2 linked regions of the Drosophila melanogaster genome follow. The protein of the gene in region 1 interacts with the protein of each later gene in a pairwise test. Each region holds a gene or a part of one and is shown in the gene's direction. Other genes may lie near its edges.

Region 1 (6,046 bases):
TCAGTCGGCCGCCGCTCGGTTGGTTGCCATTCAGGAGTTGGCCAAGCGCAAGGGTTCCTTCAGTGAGGAGGACAACAAGATCTATGCCAGCAGCTTACTGGAACTGGGCCAGGCTGCCCAGAGTTTGGCCATGCTCCAGCAAAGCGGACAGATTAAGGACTTTAGTGTTCTGCTGCAGCCGGACATGTTTGGCAATCCTCAAAAGCAGCCAGCCAATTTCGGGCTAGAGGCCACCAACAATCCGGCGGACCAGAAGATCGACGAACAGAAACTGGACGAGGTCACTGAGCAACAATTCTCGCCGGATGAGCAGTTCCTGCCCCCCAACAACGAGGATCCCTATGAGGATGTTAACGATAGTGTGTCCGTAATGGCTCCTAAGAAAGATGCCGCCGTGGCTGAGGCAAAACCAGTGGGTAAGTTCTCTGAAGGAGAGGCTTCTCTTAATTTACTTCTATTAAACCCTCCAATCACCTTTTAGGTCTTTCGATTGCCGGTGAAGGTGGCGTGGCCTCCTCAAAACCGAACGCTGTGGCTCTCTCCGGCCGGAATGGATTGGCCGTAGCTTCGCCCAAGGCCACAGCCATTGCTGGAGTTTCTCCCGAGGAGGCAGCTGCCTTCAGCATTTCATTGCCCACTCGCAATCAACTGGTGATCAAGAGTCCCAATTTGGCTTCGGAGAAGGCTAGCGAAGACTATGACTATAATGATGTACCGCTGACGGTTGCCCGCTTTCCTCTGACCCGGGAAACTCCTCAGCAATTGGTCCCGGTTCGCATCTCTGGAGGGGATTCCCTTGTGGAAAGGTGGCGCACCGCCATCGCAGAGGATTATGCAGCCAGGCAGGCGCTGACCAAGGTGGCCATGCCGCATCCCACACCCTTCATCCGCATGGCTCCCAAACTGCGTCTTCACTCCGAATAGAAAAAGTGCTGTAGGATTGGATGAACGAGATTAAAATTGGATTGGACTTGATCGCAATGAGATTCATACTTTACTTTAAGCAACATATTGTGTGCCAGCTCCCAGATTGCCAATAAAATATGTCTATTTAAATAAATGAATTAATCTGAGATTCTTATTAAAGATCTATACAGGTCAATTAAATATATCATTTATAGCCTATAGCTTAGTTTCTGAATGTTATATAAACAAGTTTAAAAGCTCTAGTCACTTTGTTACAAAATTTTAGACACAAAAATGGCTTGCAAGCGATCGTTGAGATGCAATAATTGTTCGGTCTTTAAAAAGGAACGTAATTACAACCGACTTGCGGGCCAAAGAACTGGAGTTTTCCATACCCTGTTATCGGGCGTTCGAATCACAGACCGCAAATAGCCAGTCAAGATCACGTGAAGAATGCGACAGAGGGACACGGCAACGCATCTAATTGCTGCGGGAAGTGCATACAGTTTATAAGGAATATAAATTTATTTATGCGATTGCGCCCAGCGCATTGAAAATCTCAGGCGAACTGAATGCAAGCATGTGCAAATCTTGATTAATCTTTTCCGCCAGGGCAGGCAACATGAAAATAAATTATCTAAGCGGGCAGCGGATGGAGGGTCGGTCGGCAGGAAGGAACACATTCAATTTGCACCTGAACCAGTTGGCTCCATCGACCATCTCCCATCCGAGTACCTTTGCCCGTCAATGCGGCTTCAATGCGTTCGCCCATGCCATGCTTGACTTCTATTACGCGGCAGGTTTAACAAACTTGATAGGCCCAGAACTTGGACGGGGATGTGGCGAAGACGGCATCTCCGTTGACCATCTGCCATCTGCAAGCGAACCTGAAACCAGAATGTATCTGGCCCGCCAGCTTTGTTGGCTATTCGGGCTTCTTTTGGCTAGCGAACGACTTGGTTCCCCCTTCGGCTTTCCTGCGGGAAGCTGCACATTTCCAGTTCCATCAGGTCTGCAGCTCTTTGTTCTTGGGATAGGTCAGGGTAAGGGGTCTGTGGTCGCACATTATAAAAGGCCATTGCCGAGCAGCACTGGCCACCAGTTTCCTTGAAGTGGTCGCCGTGTTAACACTGAAGACTGAGCCCGTTCATCGTTCACTGCCATTGTGTTCTGACTGACTAGTGATAGTTTAGATTCTTCTTGAGCGGATTGCGGATCGTGTGGCCACCAGAGAACTCCATCAAACTACCTGCCTAGATTTGGGAAAGTCGAGAAAGGCCCCATCAACTACTGAAACGTAAGTCTGACCCTCAATTTGCGTTTATGTTCGGCTTATTTCAAAAAGTGTGCTTAATTCAATCTCGTTTTGCTATGGTCTTAAATTCTTTTAATGGGGTCATTAAACAACTAAGTAAGTTATAGTCTAGGTCTAGCCATAAAATCGCGAAAAGAAAGTAAATATATCCGAAATTATGGGTTAAAGCCATGAAGAATAAAAAATTTAATATTTTTGAAAGAATAAACGTTTTTTATGAGAAAGCTAACGTTATTTGAATGTATTGAAATTGGATGTAAATATAAATATAATATATATATAAAATATTATTAGCCTCTAGCTTCAAAATTAGGGGAGAAAAGACAAAGAAATTCAGAACCTTAGATAGATATAAAAAATAGTTATGAAATATGGACCAAGCTTTTACTTTTTAACGATTGGCTCAATAATATTATCAAAGAAAAACTGGATTATCCCAATGCGAATTTAATTGCTAACAAATTTAAAGAACGACATTTAAGTTGTATGTATGTTATTGTATAATCACATTTAAAGAAATTTATCTAAATATCGAATTTAATCACATAAGTCTTGAAAATAAGATGCGATATTCCCAGTTCGCATAACATATTTTTTTTACGACAAACAAAAGACTTAAGAGCCGAACTTGGCAAGTACCACACAAAGAGCACTTGTAAAGGGGTGGGGACGACGAACTTGACTATCAAGTACCGATTTAAGCCATAAAGCTGCTTTCAGTCATTAGCTAGTATCTACACTAGAAGTGCTAGGCAAAGAAGTTCCAATGGCCTGGCCAATCAATTGCAAACCGGTTGATAGTCCCTCGATCCATGCAAGTACGAGGAGCATCCTGTCCGACCAGGCAACATGCAATTACACACGGACACACACAGTTGCGCAGAGTAACGTTAAATTTAGAATGGACTTTGGTGCGGTGGCAGGAGATCGGCTATAAATAGAGCATTGGCTAGACCCGTTTACAGCACTTGGGCTAAGAAGATAATAATATACAGTAGGGATTCTTCTACACAGAAATATTGAGTAAGCGAGACAATAATTACACTTACTCACATACTTCTATGTACACTTCCAAAAAAAATTCAAAATTAATCTTTACTCACATATGGTTTGGCAACTTATGTACAATATATCATAAAAAAGTATATATATATTAAATTATATATCGAATTATATACGTATTTTTTAAGTATACACCATTCTTTACGACCGACCATTCGACCCCTTACAGAATGTTCCTCCTCGCGGCCTTTTGTCTGTCCCTGGCGGCAATGGGCGGCCAGGCCAGGCCCCTGGAGCCGACGGCCCAGCACATCGTGATTGTGACACCGCAGGCGCAGGTTCACCTGGAGCCCGCTCTACGCTACGTCCACGGACTGTCGCCACTGGCCCGCGTGGCCACTCCGCACCACCATGAGGAGACGATTGTGTATGTGCCTGCTGGAACTGCTGCCCAGGTGGTGCCGGTGGTGGATGCCGTTGGATCTGGCCGTGCTGGCGGTGCTCCGGAGACCAAGCAGTGGGAGAACACGGGCGAGATTGCCAACCAGATACAGCAGGTGTCCCAGCAGGGCGTCGAGATCGTGAGTGGTCAGTTGAGCGAGGCGGCAGCATCCGCAGCCTCCGCCGGAGCGGGCTTCTTCCCCTCGCTGTTCCCACCAAGTGGGTCCAAGAAGGAGGAGCAGCTGCAGGGTTTGAAGACCGAGAAAATTGAGCTGATCGAAACGCCGGCCAATACTCAGCCATTGATTGCCACCGAGGCCAGGCATTTCTACCGTCTGCCCCAGGTCTATCACACTCCGGTGGTGGATGTGGTGCATGGTCCCCTCTACACCTGGCCCATTTCTACCATCCGAGCACGCAGCATCCAGCAGGAACCCGAACCGACGTTGGCATCGGCTGAAACTGCTTTAAAGCAGACTCTGAAGGCTGAACCACTTGCTGAGATCAAGGCGGAGCCACTGGCTGAGATCAAGTCAGAGCCGCTGGCTGAGATCAAGCCGGAACCACAGGCCTTGTTTAAGGAACAGCCCCTGCTGAAGGAACAGCCCGTGCTAAAGGAACAGCCCCTGTTGAAGGAACAGCCCGGGCTAAAGGATGAGCCCCTGTTGAAGGAACAGCCCCTGCTAAAGGAACAGCCCCTGCTAAAGGAACAGGTTTTTGAACAGGCTGCTCAGGAGTTGAAGCCCACTATTCCTGATTCTAAGGAGCAGAAGACCGGCCGTCTGCTGGATCACTTGGACATGAAGCGTGTACAAAAAACTTTGGAGATTGAAGAGGAGATATTGAAGCAACAATGTGAGGTTTTTTATTAAGCACACTTTATTGGTTTGACCATGTCATGTTTTTCACAGCCGCCAGGATTGAGCAGCAGAAGGAGCTGATCAAAACCATTCAGGCCGAGCCGGTCACCAAGCCCATCCAGGCGGAGCCACAGACCAAGATTCTTCCCGCCGAGGCGATCCAGACTGAGCAGCCGAAGCAGCAGGAGATCATCGCCGATGCCATTGTGCCGCAGGCTTAGAGCCTCGGCTGGAACCAGAACTCATCTTTGAATCTCATTCATCCCTTGGGCAGCTTTGGTTCTACGACTGATTCACATAGCTGGCCCGGCGCAATGACGACCGGGTCATGGGGTTTCCCCTCATCCACCATCCATCCATCCACCCACCAATCGTACATTTAATTACTAACAAGAACACACGCATCCGCAACATTTTCCATTTTCCAGACATTAATTAACAGCAACGAAACGAGAAAGAGACATTCATTCATAATTATCATCACGAAACGTTCGTATTCATCATCATCATTACATATTCATTAACCATAACATTGAAAACGTAAAACAGAACAATAAAAAAGTGAATGTAAAATGTAGAATGCAGGGAATGGAAATTTTAGGTTGGATTGGAATATGTGGGAAAATTATACGACTTTTTACGACCTTAGAAAGGTTTTATGAAAGAAACTATTCGAATATGACCGGAATACAAAAAAAAAATAATTAAAATATTTATTTAAGTTTCTACCATGCAAGGCACTTATTTTAGCAATTGATTACGCAATGACAATGACCCCCAAAAATTCGACGAAATTCGCAGAGACCAGAAAATCCCCAGCAACATACAAATATTGCAACTATTACACGGTTGGGTAAATAAAATCATAAAGTGCCCGGATTCACAACCCTGCATACAAAGTAACGTCGAAACGTGCCCTGATATTTGCGAATGAGGGTGATATATTTTTAAAAAATATTTAAATTACAGCACTTTTATCGTCTTACATAGCTAGTTGAATAAATATGTATTAAATAGCGTGAATTCTAGTCTGTATCATCCCCCACTGTAATGTACGCGTCCTGCTCACCGACTGCTATCAGTTCATCATCGTTCTCGGCTTTTGCAGTGGTTACATCCGGAGAATCATCCGGCGGCTGTGTAGTAAGTTCAATTCGCTGCAATCCACCGGGTTTGCTTGTATCCGTAAAGCGATAAACCGAAAAATACGTTTGAATGCGTTGAATGATATTCTCCAGTATGGGCGGAAACTTGTGTTCCACTCCATCTCCATAAATCCTTAGGCTCAATCGCGTTTCGCCACCGATGTCCGACATTTTCGAGGGACTCGCTTTCAGAGCCTGAAGAACTCCTCTCAGCATTACCAGGTCCTGTAGGTTACTGCCACTCTGATTGGGCGCCCTTCTGAGTATTAGTGATCCATTGGGTTTGAATTCCAGGTAACCGAACTTCTCCGTATCCGTGGGAAGTGCTTGGGAATTCGCTTCAATTCCGTTTTTGATCAGGGTCAGTGGTATAATGG
Region 2 (4,993 bases), on another chromosome or scaffold:
ATTCGCCACTGCAATGGAGATGGAAAAACTTCGTTAGCTCACCGGCAACAAACCTCCTTTGCTTAAATGCCGCACCCTAAAGGTATACACATACGCCAAACATTTTCGATAAGCAACTAATTTAATTGCTTTATCAGTACTTGTACATATGTAAACTCTACTTTTACTTTTTCTGACGTCAAAAGAAAACTTTATAACTAACAATTTTCTAATCAACTTTAATACCATTTAACTTTGTAATATAAAAATGTATGCTTTTTCCAATAAAATGTTATTAACTTCGTACATTAAGTATTATTAAGAACAGTTTAAACTTTACTTAGGAAGTAATGAAAACCCAATTTTTTCCGGAGCTACGAAACCGGCTTGAAGAACACCTTTTCTTTGTTCTCCCTTACGAATATACACTATACAATAGCGGTACGCACCTGCGATGACAGTGTCGGTAAGTGAGTACTTCGTTCCAGTCCTGGGAAAGTCCTTCAGCTTGCGATTGGTCAGGATCAGTTCGCCGCTGAAGTGCGCTTCTTCCAGGATTCTTTCCAGGGAGCGCGTCAGCTGGGAATGACTAAGCAGGGCAGACGAGGTGGAGGAGGAGGTGTTTCCAGCGTGGCCTATTCCAGATCCCGATCCTGTTCCAGATCCTGGAAGGGAAGCCGACCCGCTGCCGATGGCGCTGCCAGCGGCGCTGCCGACGCCGACTGCGACGCTATGTAGGCGTTGGTAAACCGTTGCTGCCATTTCCCGTGTAGGCGTGGCGACACTTCCACACACTTGCACACACACACGCACGCGCTAAACTATCACACCGATAAGGAAACGGAGTGAAGTGCCGAAAGAAACCGAAACTGGAAACTAAATTTGCTCTATTGAAACGCACGCATCTCGATTATTTTTCATTTAGTGTACGTCTTCTTGGCTCATTGATAAGATTTCTCGGAATTGGATTTTCCTTTTGCGGCTTCCTTCTTGCTTCCTCTTCTTTGCCTCCTCGCACACACGCGCACTCACACACGCACAAGCTCACGCAGCAGACGAGCGACAGTGCACAACGAAAATCGAAAAACAACTGAATCGGTTTATGGGATGCTACTTGGGCAGCGCTGGAAACGTTGCTGTTAGTTTAAAATCGGCGTGCCTTTGAGTACTATCGATAAAATACCACAGTGCGCCGATGATACACTGGCTCCATTTTTATCGCAATTCGAAATGTCAACAATCTTACATTTTATAATGTAATGTAATGTTTGTTTATTCAGAATGATCTACCGTTTAGCATTTGCCCCTTCAAATTTAGGGCATTATTAGATTACTGAGTCGTTATTACACCGAAACATTTCATATAACTACTTAAAGAAAAAATGAACAAATGACCAGGTAACCTGGTATTGGAACCCGGCAATAAACTGGTTGAATATTAAAAAACCATGTTAGACTAAATTATAAATTCGTTAATTTGTCAGTTGTGTGGGCTCAGATCACAAATCTGAATAAGCTCAGCGACGCTTCCATTATTGGTGACATAATTTCATATTTTACATATTTATATTCACGAATAAATATTCGCCAATTTCCTACAGGGTGTTTTTGTATGACCGCATTACTCTAAAAATACCTCGGGAAAATATAGCCGCAACTATCGATTGGCGCGCTGCACTGGAGCTGTGCTACCATCGCTAACTCAGTGCAACAACAAAATTCCAACGCAACGCCAACTAAGTGCAAAAAAAATCTAAAATTTGTGTAAAATTGTAAAATCCCAATCGCGTATATTTCTAAATCGTATTCGCACAGCACAGTATGTAAAGCACTCCAGTTTATTTAAGTACTGTGTGTGTGTGCGGTAAACACACACCAATAAGAGTGCGTTTTCGCGTCCCTTTTCCCACCCTCTTCTAATGGTTCCCTCTTCTATAACTGTGTCAAATCAGCAGCAACAATAAAATATAGAACAGAGCTACAGCGTGCGTGTGTGTGTGTGTGAAATGCACAAATTGATAAGCAATTTGATTCAATTTAATCTTGTTTAAGTCTGATGAATATCAGCGCAAGCAGCCCAACACAAAATTATAAATAAAAAGTTACGAATTTATATAAATAGAATACCCTTGAGTGATTTTGTTAGTCGCATAAAATTAATTCAATACATATTTGTGTTCCGCATTTTTTGAAAATATAACGAAGTTCTGGCCAACGAGAGCAACAACAAAAAGCGGTCTTGTTTGTTTTTCAAGCTCAACGAAAAAAAGAAGAAAAGAAATCTGCTCTCAGTCAGCTGTTTTAAAGCAGCCGCCTAAGTGCGAGTGAGATAGCTGCCTGCGCGCCAAAATAAAGCAACAACAAAAGTGGAACAGTGGTTCAAAACCTAGCTAAAAATAAAAAAAATCCATTTATTTTTGTAGCAAAAATATAAAATAAAAGCAAATTAAGCGAATTATACATATATTTGTTAAGGTAAGTGATCAGCATTCCATTTATTTTACCAAAAATTATTCTTTTGCACTTGTTTTTCCCCCAAGTTTTTTAAATCGTTTACTTTTAATACGCGTGTGTCCTAATAAGTGAAGATTATTAAGAATAAAGTAAAAAATGAGTGATGATACGAGCGCTTCGGGCGGGACAAGTGCCCCTTTTCCATCGCCAGTTACTGCGGACCCGGAACCAGGAGCCACTGCCTCCAAATTACCGGGTCCCATCAGATCCAATATTCCCACGCCCGCTACTTCTGGTACCGGAATCCCGCAGCCCAGCAAAATGAAGGCACCATCTAGTTTTGGATCGACGGGTTCTGTTTCCAAAATCGGAAGACCGTGCTGCAATCACACAACTCCCAAATCCGGTCCACCACCAAGAGGTAAGTCTAATCGCATTGTGCAACAACGCAAACCAGTTAGTATTATTGCTCAAAGCAAATATGTTACTAAGAGCAGTATTTTTGAAAGTAGTTAAAGGTCTTAATTATCCCCTGGGTTTAATTATCATCCATTTTACAAGCTAGAATTTAAAGCAAGATGAAATTAAAACACATCTGAACACCAATGGGAATTCAACCAGAGCCCCTTTGAAAATCTTGTCAGTGCATTGTCACATACATATTAACATCTTAACAAAGAACATTAATTTCACAATTCAAGAAAAGGGGTTTTTACCGATTTCCACTTTTATACGCGAGTTCTTCACTTATAAAACAGTTGGAAGAAGTCTGATAATTGAATTGCTCTCCGGAAAATATCGCAGTAAAATATGTTTCAATAGTATAGCCCACCACTATACTATCACCAAGTACTCATGAAGGTTAATATTAAAAAATGTACCCACATTCAAATGGGAAAACAGAAACCCAAAAAGAATGGTGAGTTTAAATAATGCACTTTTAAGTTTGACATTGTAAAGGGGTCATTTCATCAAGTTTACTTACTCTCTACCCTCAATACCCGAGATTTGACTACTTTTGTGTTTGCATCTTTGGCTCAAGCAAGTCAAGCATCCGCCTACATATATATATGTGCACCCACAAGATGTAGATTGCTGTATACTATAAGCGAATGCAATGATCTAATGGAAACGATGACAGACCCACTCACTTGCTAAATATATACATACATATACGCTGACCCCACCCCATTTGAGTGCACTTTTTGCACTACATTGAACTTGCAATTATTTCGGCGAGAACTCGCGTAGTTAGTGTAAATTCTTCTCTAAAGAGAAACCATTAATAATTCCCAGCGTCAACTGTTTCGTTTGGTAAACAAATGCTTCACTTCTTTCAATTATTTAATCGTTTTGAAACACCAACGCACAATTCAAAAATAAACAAAACAAATTGCCGCCCACTCTTAACTCTCGATCATAATTATAGAGCTGCCCCGAAAAGTGTTTTTGGTAAGGAGAATTATGGCCAATTAGGCAAGTGCTGCTACCATTTAATTGATCCGCCCAATGTGGCTCATTTCAGGCACGTAACCGCACCGCAGTCGTCAACATACGACGACCCACTGGCCCATATAGCAAACGATCTGCCAAACGATCCATGGATCGATTGACGGGTTTTCTATTTCGCCGGCACACACGTTCCATATCCGATTGACAGTCGCAATGCAACCGCAAAATCGTAGAAATTTATTCCCTGTAAATTTACCCAAAAACACAAAAATTTGTAATGTTTAGGGTTACAGAAAAAACTGAGTCACGAGGTGTATTTAATTTGCATCCATAGAAATAGTTTACACGGCGCTATGTGCACTGTGATCATTTAGATTATCACTTTGTATTAGATTGGTTTTGTAACTAGTTTGTTTGCCCATTTATACATTATTTTTAAAATCGTTTATTGGTCGTTTATTGCACATAATTATTAAACCTATTTCAGAAATTAAGCTGTTTGCTTGGCTCAATGAAAGTCCAGTTTGTTTTGATAGCTCCGAATTTTTTGCTTTAGTACATTTAAATTTCTACGCTGATTTGTTTCAAATACGCCAGTGTTGATCGCCATATCAAAGAGATTATTCCGCATTTTGCCAATTATTAACGAAAACGAAGTGATATACCGCATGTCCCAAATAGTTGAACTACTTTAGTCAATTAGTAGTTTATGCGACGCGCTGCTTAAAACCAAATCCGTTCCAAGCGCCTGAGCGCCTTGATCCGCTGCCCAGATCAGCTTTCTAAAATCTCTCCTAGCATTCTGGAACGGACTGTTTGACTATCTGCCAAGAGACCCGTCATTTGGCCCGCCATACTCAATGCCAAAAGTCTGCGAAAATCTACTCAGCTCAAATGCGACCGAGAAAACCTGGCGACCGGCCGGCAATCTATCTCTACGTCGTCGTTCCCTAATTGAATTTGTTCTGGCGATGACACAGAAAACGTACTCAAAACGTATCTTCTAGCTTGTTCGTGAGCTCAGATCTTTTGAGGTGTTTTTGCGCTGCGCATTTGATGCCGGGTTCCGTTCTCAGTCGATCTGATATGAAAATTGCGGTCGTGGTGC

What was found.
Region 2: the proteins of CG13023 (region 1) and CLIP-190 interact in a two-hybrid assay, tested with the Drosophila melanogaster proteins (one large-scale study listed by BioGRID).

The regions. Positions count from the first base shown.
Region 1 is NT_037436.4:16,923,392-16,929,437, reverse strand, and holds CG13023 (uncharacterized protein), read left to right. Parts: upstream 1-2,003; 5' UTR 2,004-2,203; intron 2,204-3,452; 5' UTR 3,453-3,453; coding exon 3,454-4,519; intron 4,520-4,575; coding exon 4,576-4,745; 3' UTR 4,746-5,524; downstream 5,525-6,046. Other genes in the region: CG13028 (uncharacterized protein), read right to left, coding at 5,550-6,046.
Region 2 is NT_033779.5:17,383,042-17,388,034, forward strand, and holds the start of CLIP-190 (cytoplasmic linker protein 190), read left to right. Parts: upstream 1-1,973; 5' UTR 1,974-2,454; intron 2,455-2,519; 5' UTR 2,520-2,589; coding exon 2,590-2,854; intron 2,855-3,104; exon of another isoform or gene 3,105-3,288; coding exon of another isoform or gene 3,289-3,352; intron 3,353-4,993. Other genes in the region: Lrch (Leucine-rich-repeats and calponin homology domain protein), read right to left, coding at 429-741. UniProt on the Drosophila melanogaster protein: Together CLIP-190 and jar may coordinate the interaction between the actin and microtubule cytoskeleton. May link endocytic vesicles to microtubules. May play a role in formation of furrows during cellularization.